Linked DNA regions of Saccharomyces cerevisiae S288C. The main gene of each other region encodes a partner of the protein of the gene in region 3 in a complex. Each region holds a gene or a part of one and is shown on either strand. Other genes may lie near its edges. The genes, in order: UAF30, RRN5 and RRN9.

Evidence for each region.
Region 1: RRN9 (region 3) and UAF30 share a complex: the UniProt entries of both Saccharomyces cerevisiae proteins name them as parts of the UAF (upstream activation factor) complex.
Region 2: RRN9 (region 3) and RRN5 share a complex: the UniProt entries of both Saccharomyces cerevisiae proteins name them as parts of the UAF (upstream activation factor) complex.

Annotation. Positions count from the first base shown.
Region 1 is NC_001147.6:867,258-870,554, reverse strand, and holds UAF30 (Uaf30p), read right to left. Parts: upstream 1,348-3,297; coding exon 661-1,347; downstream 1-660. Other genes in the region: YOR296W (uncharacterized protein), read right to left, coding at 1-353; ribosome biogenesis protein RRS1, read right to left, coding at 1,604-2,215; YOR293C-A (uncharacterized protein), read left to right, coding at 2,408-2,557; 40S ribosomal protein eS10 RPS10A, read right to left, coding at 2,703-2,968. UniProt on the Saccharomyces cerevisiae protein: Nonessential component of the UAF (upstream activation factor) complex which interacts with the upstream element of the RNA polymerase I promoter and forms a stable preinitiation complex.
Region 2 is NC_001144.5:421,760-425,332, reverse strand, and holds RRN5 (Rrn5p), read right to left. Parts: upstream 1,651-3,573; coding exon 559-1,650; downstream 1-558. Other genes in the region: PUT1 (proline dehydrogenase), read right to left, coding at 1-147; SLS1 (Sls1p), read left to right, coding at 1,860-3,573. UniProt on the Saccharomyces cerevisiae protein: Component of the UAF (upstream activation factor) complex which interacts with the upstream element of the RNA polymerase I promoter and forms a stable preinitiation complex.
Region 3 is NC_001145.3:804,745-808,115, forward strand, and holds RRN9 (Rrn9p), read right to left. Parts: upstream 1,680-3,371; coding exon 582-1,679; downstream 1-581. Other genes in the region: TMA23 (Tma23p), read left to right, coding at 1-347; orotate phosphoribosyltransferase URA10, read right to left, coding at 2,121-2,804. UniProt on the Saccharomyces cerevisiae protein: Component of the UAF (upstream activation factor) complex which interacts with the upstream element of the RNA polymerase I promoter and forms a stable preinitiation complex.

The DNA.
Region 1 (3,297 bases), on a different chromosome or scaffold from region 3:
AAGTTTTTATTTCCTGAAATTTGTGCCAACTTCCCTTTTAATATACGTAAAGTTGCCTGTACTATATCGCGTTCCGACATATCGTCTTGTTTGTCAACCACTAGTTTCTTCCCATGTTGCGTTTGCTGATGATTCGTTTTGTCAGATAAAACCCTTGACGTTCCTGTCCTATTCGATAGCAAAGCTGCTTCTTTAAATCGCGGTTCGTTGATATAATCCAACAAAATTAGTTTTAAAGTGTAAAGATAGACATCTGATGTTGGTAATTCGGTATTAATGACGTTGCATATTGACGGTATTTCCACGGATACATCAGATACAGTAGATGATAATGTGGAGACTGTTCGATTCATAAGTTTCACACTAGCTGCAAAAGCCCTATAAAATGCCGGCTTATCCTCTTAATGATGTGAGAACGCTACTAATATTCAACTAGGAGCAGAGCTATTCGCCTTTCTATTTTCTACGTAGGTATATATATACAAATCTCTACATACTCATGTATCTTTTCACCCGGGAATGTTAACGTTACAAATTGTAGGCAGCTACCGAAAAAATAAGGCAAAAGGACTTTATAATAGAGAGGCCATTTTTCATTCCTATAGTGTTGCCTTAACAACACAAATTTCAACGCCTTGAAATTTTCATGATATCCTTGATTCAAATGCCCTTTGTATCTGATTGCTCGGAATCTGAAACGATGGGCTTTTCCTTTCTACGGACTTCTTGGATAAGAGGAGGACAGTCGCTTATTTTTTTAGGCTCTGTCATATGACTTGCCAAAATTTTGTGCATCTCAAACATATTGGTACTCTTGCCAAGTATTAATTCTAATTTTTCGTCGCACAGTATTTCTTTCTTGTTGTTAGGATTCTGCAGATTATGCGCTTTAATATATGCCCAGAGTCGTCGTACTACTTCGGTCCTCGTCAATTCATGCTCTCCTAGCAAACTCGCTAATGATTTAGATAGTGTAACTTTTCGTGTTGAAATAGGTGACTTACTAACAGTCCCTTTTTTCTTCTCAACATGAGTACCTTTGGTTTCGCTATCGTTCTTTTCCTCTCCAGATGATCGTTTGCTTACGGTAATTTCCTTGGTGAGCTCAATCGCCAAAGTAGCATTTTCCTTTAGCAGATCCTCAAGAGATCTTTCGAAGCGCGGCCTTTCTTTTACAAGATCTAGATGTTTCCTAATCAATTTGTTAATTGCTTTTCCCTGTGATTCAACGTCGATTGCATATACTTCTTTCAAAGCCATCCTAACCTTTTTAGTTGTGACCGTTTCCAAATCCATATCAGAGAGAAGAATATCGATCATCGTACTATAATCGTTTAATTCAGCCATGGCAACGCAAAGAAAGCTGTCAACGAACGCTTTAGTACTTGTTAAAATTTTCACCTATCTTATTCTGATCTCATCTTGGACTACTGCAAAAAAATGTATCAAAATATAGAACGGAATTTTGATGTTTTTCTAATTTACAATTATTTAAAAATATTATAGATGTAAGGATACGTAGATGTGAGGTTATGCTGTAGTTAAAAAAAAGGTTAGCGGATCGATTGGGGACGCAAGTAGGAAGCAACAACGTCTTTCACTATCATAAGGCATTCTTCATATTTCTCCTTTGTTGTTTTTCGTTCTTCTTGACTAAACGTTTTCTTTCTGCCCTATTCAAAGTTCTTGGATCGATCAATTCATTGTCAGTGCCTTTTACTTTATCATCAACTTCCACCAACCATTGATCATCTAACTTCTTATTTGCGCCCTTGTAGCCCCACTTTGGAACCCATTCACCGGATGCCTCATCATAAATCATCTTTCCTGCCCTTTCCTTTGGTTTAATACCCTTCTTAGCTGCAAACTTCTCCCATTTGGTCATAGCCTTAGCCTTTGGCAGTGGCTTTTCTCTTGGTAAGTCAGTGGTAGGGTCAGGAAGCTGCAACAAGGTCATCACGGAACTTTGACCGCCGGTGCCACCTACAGACTCCGTTGTTGTTTTCATAGGTAGTGATAATAGTTGATTGATTAGTAACTGAACATTATCACGAGTAAGACTCTTTATCTTTTCTTCACGCCTAGCATTCGAAGAATCTAAATCGTTTTTATCCAAGACATTACTATCGAATGCTGCCAGGTTACCCAAATCGTATACCACTGGGATAGGCTTTTCAACGGTGACTGGTAAGTTCTTGTAATCTTCTGCTGACATCTAGAATAGTATATAGGTATATGCTGTCTGGATATACGGCTTAGTCGATGATATAAAGTACACTAAGAAACGACCCTTCTGAAATCAAACTGCACTTTTTTTGTTAAAGGCTCATCTCATCACTTGGAAAAATTTTTATGCGTAGGGTGATCGCGAAAAAAGTATCTATTTCGGCAAGAGAAGCAAAAGATGATGAAATTACTATTTCTGAATATTATAGTCGTGCGCCGCCATTTGCATTGTAAAAGCTACAGACTATCACCATGGTATATATATATATATGGTGATTATCTGCTATATACGACAGAAATACCATACAAACCGTTTACTCGGCAACCTTGACTTTGCTTTTGATTTCACTTTATTAATTAAAAAATATACATAAGTTCAATGTAATTGAAAGTACAACACATCAAAATATAAACCTAGATATATAGAACCAGAAGAATGTTACAAAAGAGAAAATTCAATTGGAGCTACGAATTCCTTAATATCTTCTTTGTGGTCTTTGAGTTGGGTTTCTTTCTTGAATGTAGGTACCTGGAACAATGTGTTCTGGCAAGTTCAAGTATTCTCTCAAGTATTCAACACCTTCTTCAGTCAAGGTGTAGTAGTAGTATTGCCATGAGAATTGAGTCTTGACGTAACCCTTAGAAGTCAAGGATTGTAAAGCCTTAATGACATACAAGTTCTTGGTGTCAATTTCTTCGTGCTTGGCTTGGTTGAAATCCTTCTTGGCGACAACAACACCTTCTGTATAAAAAAAGAAATTATCATAGGAGAGAATGATGTTTACATCTCTCCGTTGAAATTGAAGATAAGTTAGTAAAAAGATCATATAGATGATTCGTGGTACTCGGTAAGGATCAAAAGTTGGATCTCCGCGTAAAACAGTTTTACCGTTTTCTTGCCCAAATATAGGACGTATACCATATTTCATACGTCTCCAGGGTCGATGGCCTTGTGCTGTCCTTTCGAAAATGTCGTCACACGGTTCCTTGTAATTTCTTCTATGTAATCCACTAATATATTCATAAGAAATCCTTTAACCTCATATGCATGGTATCCATCTGTGTGTTTGA
Region 2 (3,573 bases), on a different chromosome or scaffold from region 3:
ATTGGCGGCCGGAGTTTCAACCATCAGATTAGCAGCCGTGTTAGAGTGTGTCGGAGTCTTTGACACATAGGACCTCTTTATCAAAGGAAAGCATAGAGAGGGTATGCGCGATTTAGTAACTAATAAGGAGCTTTTGGAAGCTATCATTTCTAGCGTGCGTTAGTGTTATTACTATGTAGCGATGTTTATGATATATAAAAGACAAAAGAGAAGAGCTGCTACGGACTTGTGGAGTTTGTGTTCGGTTCCCAGCAAGCTTTATATAAGAAGGCAGAAGGGTGAGAAAATGGGCTTAGTTCATGCGATTTCTCCTGATAATAGACGATACTAAGTACAATAATGAGATGATAAGGGAAATAGCGCCACTCATCAATTGTTTATCATTCATTTTTCTTGTGTAGATATGCTTTTCGGGATGCGAAACCCGAGGCGTGGTAACCGGAAAGCCATTGCCGAAAGGAAATTCCAATCAAAAAAGCGGTGGAGCTAACGGAGGGAATAAGCGAAAGAATAATGAAAACAAAAATTATGTCCCTGCGCGATTTTTCGCATTGTGTCTCATTTGGATAACCATTTTAGCAACTGATTTTCATGTAATGCTGATCGGAACAAGTCCGCTTCGTCGATTTCATCCCTTTCTGCCTCGCTTTCACCTTCACTTGCAGTGTTATCTTGTTCTTGATTTTCTTGATTTTCTTGATTTTCTTGATTTTCGTCTTGATGGACTGGGGGCGCATCCCGTCTGGACAACTGGCTTTGTAGAAACAGATGTGCCATCTCCTTGGTGCGGAACAGTTTGCCCTCTCGCGGATAGTCTAGTTCCCATTTGCGCAGTGTCAAAACAATGCGCCTTGGAAGCACGTGTAGGTCACGTGATCGGGCTTCTGTGCATAGTGCACGCTCAACTTGCCGGCGAGTTACCACCGTCGGTAGCGACTTGTGTCCTCGAGATTCGGCCGCCCTGGCGCTGACGCTGCGGGAAGCCATACCCGCAAGGGCCGTGCACCACAGCAATGTACGTGTGTAGCGACTTACGCAGCGCTCCAAAGTCTGCGTCGCGCTGCGCGATAGCGGCAGCGCGTGGCGGGGCAAGGGTCTTATCTCCGCGATACGGCTGTGCGAGTAGATGGCCACCCACCTGCGTTTCCAGCTTTCATAATCGATAAGGCCCTCGCAGTGTCCTTCCTCATCGGCAACCTCGGCTGCGCCTTCCGTGATGGCCATCACTGTCTCGCTCAGTTTTGTCTCCAGGGCAACCCACTCAGCGCTCATTTCGTACGCAATGGGCGCTCCGTCGTCACCCGCCTTACGCGATCTCGCGCTCGCACTCGCTCTCCTTAACAACCTGTAATAACCTAGAATCTCCATGGCGCTCTTCCGAGGCAACAATGAGCGCCACTCGTCTACACGGTGGATACTATAGCGTGAAAGGCACCAGAAAAAGGTATTCTTCTCCTCGCTGTCCCAGTCTACACCAACGCTAGAGATTTCTACACCAGCATTGGCGGTACCCGCCTTTTCATGGATGCTCTTTACATGTACTTTGGAAGGATGGAACTCAGCTGGGCGGCCTGACGCGGCACCATTGTAGAATTCCTCGACCTCCTTATTGTACAATTCGACGTACTTCCGCAATTGTTGGTGCTCCATCCTAGGTGACCGTCGTATGCGCTGTGCTTTCCTAGCTCTTCTTCCACTTCTGTTTCTCTATACTTTTTTTTTTGTTTTTCACCTCGCCCGCCTTTTCTTATTTCAGTGAACTGAAAAAAAAAAAAAAAGTTATGTATCTTTAATGTAATAAAACTAGTACATAATATATACGGAGCTTGAAGGCACTGGAGAAAATATAGAGTAAGCATATGTGGAAATTCAACAAAAAGCTCGCCCGTCTTACTTACCGTCTTTATTCAAGCTCAGGCCCAAGCTCGCCCCTTCATGGGAAGAAGAAACTGCCGCAAAATCTGAAATTCGTCGTCTTGAACCCTACCCAATCTGGGCTAGTGAAAAATGATCAGAAGCAGCCTAGACACAGGCCGTCTAAGAAACGTAGCCATAAGGAAACTGGAGATAACAACCTCGATTTCGGCTCGAAACTCCTTGTCTTCGAAAAGCAGAATTCACTAGATTCCGCATTGAACTCCATCCGATTGAAGAAACCGACAAGCGCCAGTCTGCCCTCCCTGGAATACAATGCCCTTCTCCAATCGCTTACATCAAGCTACAATCGCTACCAACTGCGCGAGTTCATCTCCACACATCAGCCAGACTCCTCTTCACATCTGACGCACTGGAAGAAAAGCAAGCTGTCCCAATATATAATTGAAAAAATCTGGAATTGCCAACCAATTTCAACACCCACCACTCCCACAGGCATCAAGTCCACATCATTGACTTTCCAGTTCGATTCTCCTAGAGAAATTTTCCTTTTACTCATCACTCAAAATGGTAAAATACTCACCAACTTCAATAAGCTCGGGCTGACATTCATCATCTCCATTCAGGATAACGAATTGACCGTCAAGGGTTCGCCTAGCTTGCTCAAATACGCAGAAATATCCTTAAACAAAATATGGTCAAACATCACTCATGAAAATGTGCGTATGTATTCCCTCATGCCATCAAAAGACGTCATCAACCTTATTCAGAAGGAAACTCACACTTTTTTTGAATACCTCCCGGACTTGCAAATGTACAAGATTTCAGCCCTAAGCACCAAGAAAATATCCATGGCCAAAGTCTTTTTATTAAATGCCGTCGCTTCTAATCCTAACACAACTCAACACCACCACACAATAGCCTCACCAGCACTCAAGACAGAACTCTATCCGTTCAACAATACTCTAGAGAACTTGGACTGGCTAAACAAGTCACAAGATTGGGCAAGATTACAGTCAGTTGTCCCTAAAAATTGCACAGATCTGATGACTCCCACTGAAAACGCCACACCAGAATTGACAGATGCGCAGGTCAGCCAATTCGAATCTTCCTTGTCTAAAAATATACCATCTCTCTCCCCTTCCGACTCTATTTCCCAATCTTTATCAATAACGCTAGGTCACTCCTTACAGTCCGCGTCTTTTTCTAGTATTTTCCAACCTCTAATACATAAGAGTTTTATTTCAAAATTACTGAATCTACCAATGTACAAAGAATCATCATCATCAGCCGTACCTGTGCCTGTGCCTCTTGATCAACATCTAATAACAAATGCGCATCAATCCTTCATACAGCTGAACTTCACTCCTGTGCCGCCCACCTCTGGCTCCTCCTCGTCCCCTTTTTTGCAGATTTGGTTCGAGATTGACGAATTCGATAACATTGTTACCACCTCAATGAGGCCTCTTTTGAAATTACAAGAAAATTCTGTTATCTTAAGAACTCCACAATGCCAGACAGACTATAAGATCACGTCAGATTACATTCAAGATCTTTTACCTGATTTCGACCAGACCAATCCGGATGCTTGGTTATCTGAACAAAAAGGCCTCCAAGAATTTCTTCTCAAGTCACACTGGAAGTTAAACAAATATCAGAATCTTATGAAAAAAATCAACATTTCTTTACCAGATAACC
Region 3 (3,371 bases):
TAAAGGGAGAAGGGCTGAAAGGAACCATTACTAATCTTGGTAAAAAGGAGGAAGCCAGCTTTGTTGTATCTAGTGCAAGTTCGAGTAAAGGGAAGAAGAGAAGAAGGCGTGATGAAGATGATAACAAGGTCAAGAGAAAAAAATTGAAAAAAGATAAAAAGACTAGTAACGACAGTGAGAGTAAGAAGAAGAAGAAGAAGAAAAGCAAGAAGGAGAGTAAAAAAGGAAAGAAAAGTAAGCATAGCAGCGATGAAGGTGATAAATCGAAGCATAAAAAATCCAAAAAGTCAAAAAAACATAAAAAGGAAGAAAGTTCAGCAAGAAGAGATAGAAAGGAGCATATATGATTATCATAGTCTAATATGTAAATATGTATCCGTAAAAGACATTCTTAAAAGTTTGAATTTATGATCTTTTTATTTTTGTATTTAGTCTTTGTTTTCGAACTTTTATTAATATTAAATTTCAGTAAGTAAATTAAAAGAACATCTTTAAAAGAGTATATTTATTGTTACATATGTTGATCTTAAAAGGAGATGAATATTTCTTAATGGAAAAAGGTAAAAAAAAGATTTTCTCATTCATATGTTCCCATTAGGCAGTTCTATGAGGCAGTCGTCCAACTCGTAATCAGAGATCTCATTCTCATCCTCTAAGTAGCCCTTTACCTGAAAAAATGTTCTTTTGTTTAGAGCATCTTCCGTCTCTTCACGATTTAAGCGTTGTAGCTTGGATTTGTCCTTTGATGTCAACCGTTTATCCTTCAATAACTTTTCCACAGGTATGAAATCTTCTCTTGTTTTACTTAATAGCTCCTTTAAGTATGAACTGGTCTTTTTTGGCTGGTGATACTTTTTTAGAATTTGTTTGGGCAGTCTGAATTTTCTCTTTTTATACTTTTCTGGGATATCGTTATATAGCTCTAATGATTTCATGTAGATATCCGTCATATCCTCGTTCATTTCACAACCTCTTGAAACCAAGTCATGATATGTGTATTTAATTCGTCGATTGGCCTGCATGGGCTCGTCGTCTATCTGATTCGCCCTTATATTATTAGAATGCTTATCTTGCCTTACATCGAATTCGTTCTCTTTGGCTATTTTATCATGCAACCCTTCGAATAAGCTGTCCAGTTTAACTAAGATATTCCGGGATATTTCGTTTGGAATGTTCAATTCATCCACATCTAGAGTTACATCATGGTCCAAGGCAGACTTAGAGAGAAATTTTTGCCATTGAGCATCCAGCTCAACCCTCATCATATCAGAGGCGTGCATTAAAGCCCTATTTGAGATCTCCCCCGGCTGTACGCTTACATTTGCAATACCTTCCGGTATATCTTCATACAATTTGTCTACACTAGGGTCAATAATTGTATTGGGATTAGGCCAGCTCGTCCAGTTATCCTTAATTTGGGTCTTCACAAACTGGTTTACTTCATAAAAATGTTTTTTTTCATTTGCCTTATACAATAGTCTTTTCAAGAGGTACGCAGAGTATAAATGCAACGAAAGGTCGACTCTGTGCGAGTGTTCTAGAGAATCTAATAATTCATTTGCAGATTTCAAAGTCTCTTTATCAGCGGTTGTAGTGGTAAGCTCAGATCCTCGTATAATATCTTCGATAGGAGCATCGATCTGAGTTTCAATTTGACTTTCTTCGTCAAGATCACTCATCAAAACCCCACGTAATGTTTGTTCTCAAATATATTTCGTCGTCCCGAAATCAGCACAGTTTTATAATGCAACTGTTAAATGTCTAGAGAGAAAAAACCGCCGACACATCAATATTTTCACCCTTTATGGCTAAACTTGAGTGTGATTCTTGCATCTGAGTAATCTTCAAACACGAAAGGCCTTTTTGTTTATTTTGTAGAAGAAAAATATTTTAGTGAAAAATTATGGAAAGTAGTAGAAATCCTCTCAAGTGAAGCATGACAAAAAGAAAAGTAAGAAACCTTAAAAGACACTAATAGTTGATGAATTACTATGCGAGAACTCACGTAACTCCAACAATAAAAAGCTATTTACGTATACTGATTAAAAAAGAATACAAGAAAAATTTATTCTTTCCTATACAAACAATGATAATCAAATGGTCCATGTCAGTTCTATAGTTCATATACCATAGGCCTTACGGTAGTTTTCAATCGCTGATTTTTGCTCTGGTGATAGTCTATTTCCCATAAATTGTACCACTTGAGTCAGTGATACAATACTTAGCACAGGAACGTTGTATCTCTTTGAAACAGATTGGGTAGCACTTGTTCTTTCCGGATCAGATTCATGAATCACTTCTTGCCTATCTAAAGCAACAATACAACCCACTACCCTACCTTGAGCAATACTGATTATCTCAAATGCTTCATTGATTGCAGTTCCTGCAGTCATGACATCGTCGATAATCAACACCCTCTTGTCTTCAAGCGATGCTCCAACAATAATACCACCTTCGCCGTGGTCTTTAACTTTCTTTCTATTAAAAGCATATTGAATACCTTGAAATTTAGTGCCCCCGATTTCTGCTAGTTTAACGCATACAATAGCAGCCAAAGGGATCCCTTTGTAAGCAGGTCCGAAAATAACATCGAATTTAAGCTCCGATTGAATGATAGCAGTTGCATACGCGGTGGCAAGGTTTGCCAACAGCTTTCCAGAATTGAACAAACTAAGATTGAAAAAATATGGCGACTGCCTGCCTGAATTCAGCTTGAATGACCCAAATCTTAGTGCTTTGCATTCTAATCCCAGTTCAAGGAAAGTTTTTTGATATTCCTCTAAACTTGTAGTAGATGCAGACATTATTGGATTATGTTTTATTATTCTTGATGGCTCTAGGTCTCGACTATTTTGCGTGACACTTCCTTAGTTCTTAATCTATATAAAAGAGCCTGTGATGGCCTTTTACCCTAGATTAGGAAGCGAAGGGGCCTTTCCCGAAAGGTTATGTATGACTCCCTTGAAATGCATATGATAATTAAAACCAAAAAATGTTATGTGATTCTGAAAGGAAATGCTGTCATGTGAGTCAGGTGTAGAGCAGGTTAGAACAGTTTATATTACATAGTCTGAAAGGCACGTGAGAAAGTGCCATACCATTAGCCGAATACGTGAAATGTCTAAAAAAATACAAGTGAAAGAATAAAGTGCTAAAAAAACTATCAGGCTCTCAGAAGGCAATTTAGCCATATGTATACATATATATGTGTGTGTATAAACCTCATATAAGGGGCCCCAATGGTTTATCTAAAGGATATCCTATTAGGACTTGTCTGTCACACGCAAAACTTCAAATGACATAATGATGAGCACTTGTCAAATAATTGAGTAACTTCTTCGATATCTCTGGTATGTAAAAATAAGTATATC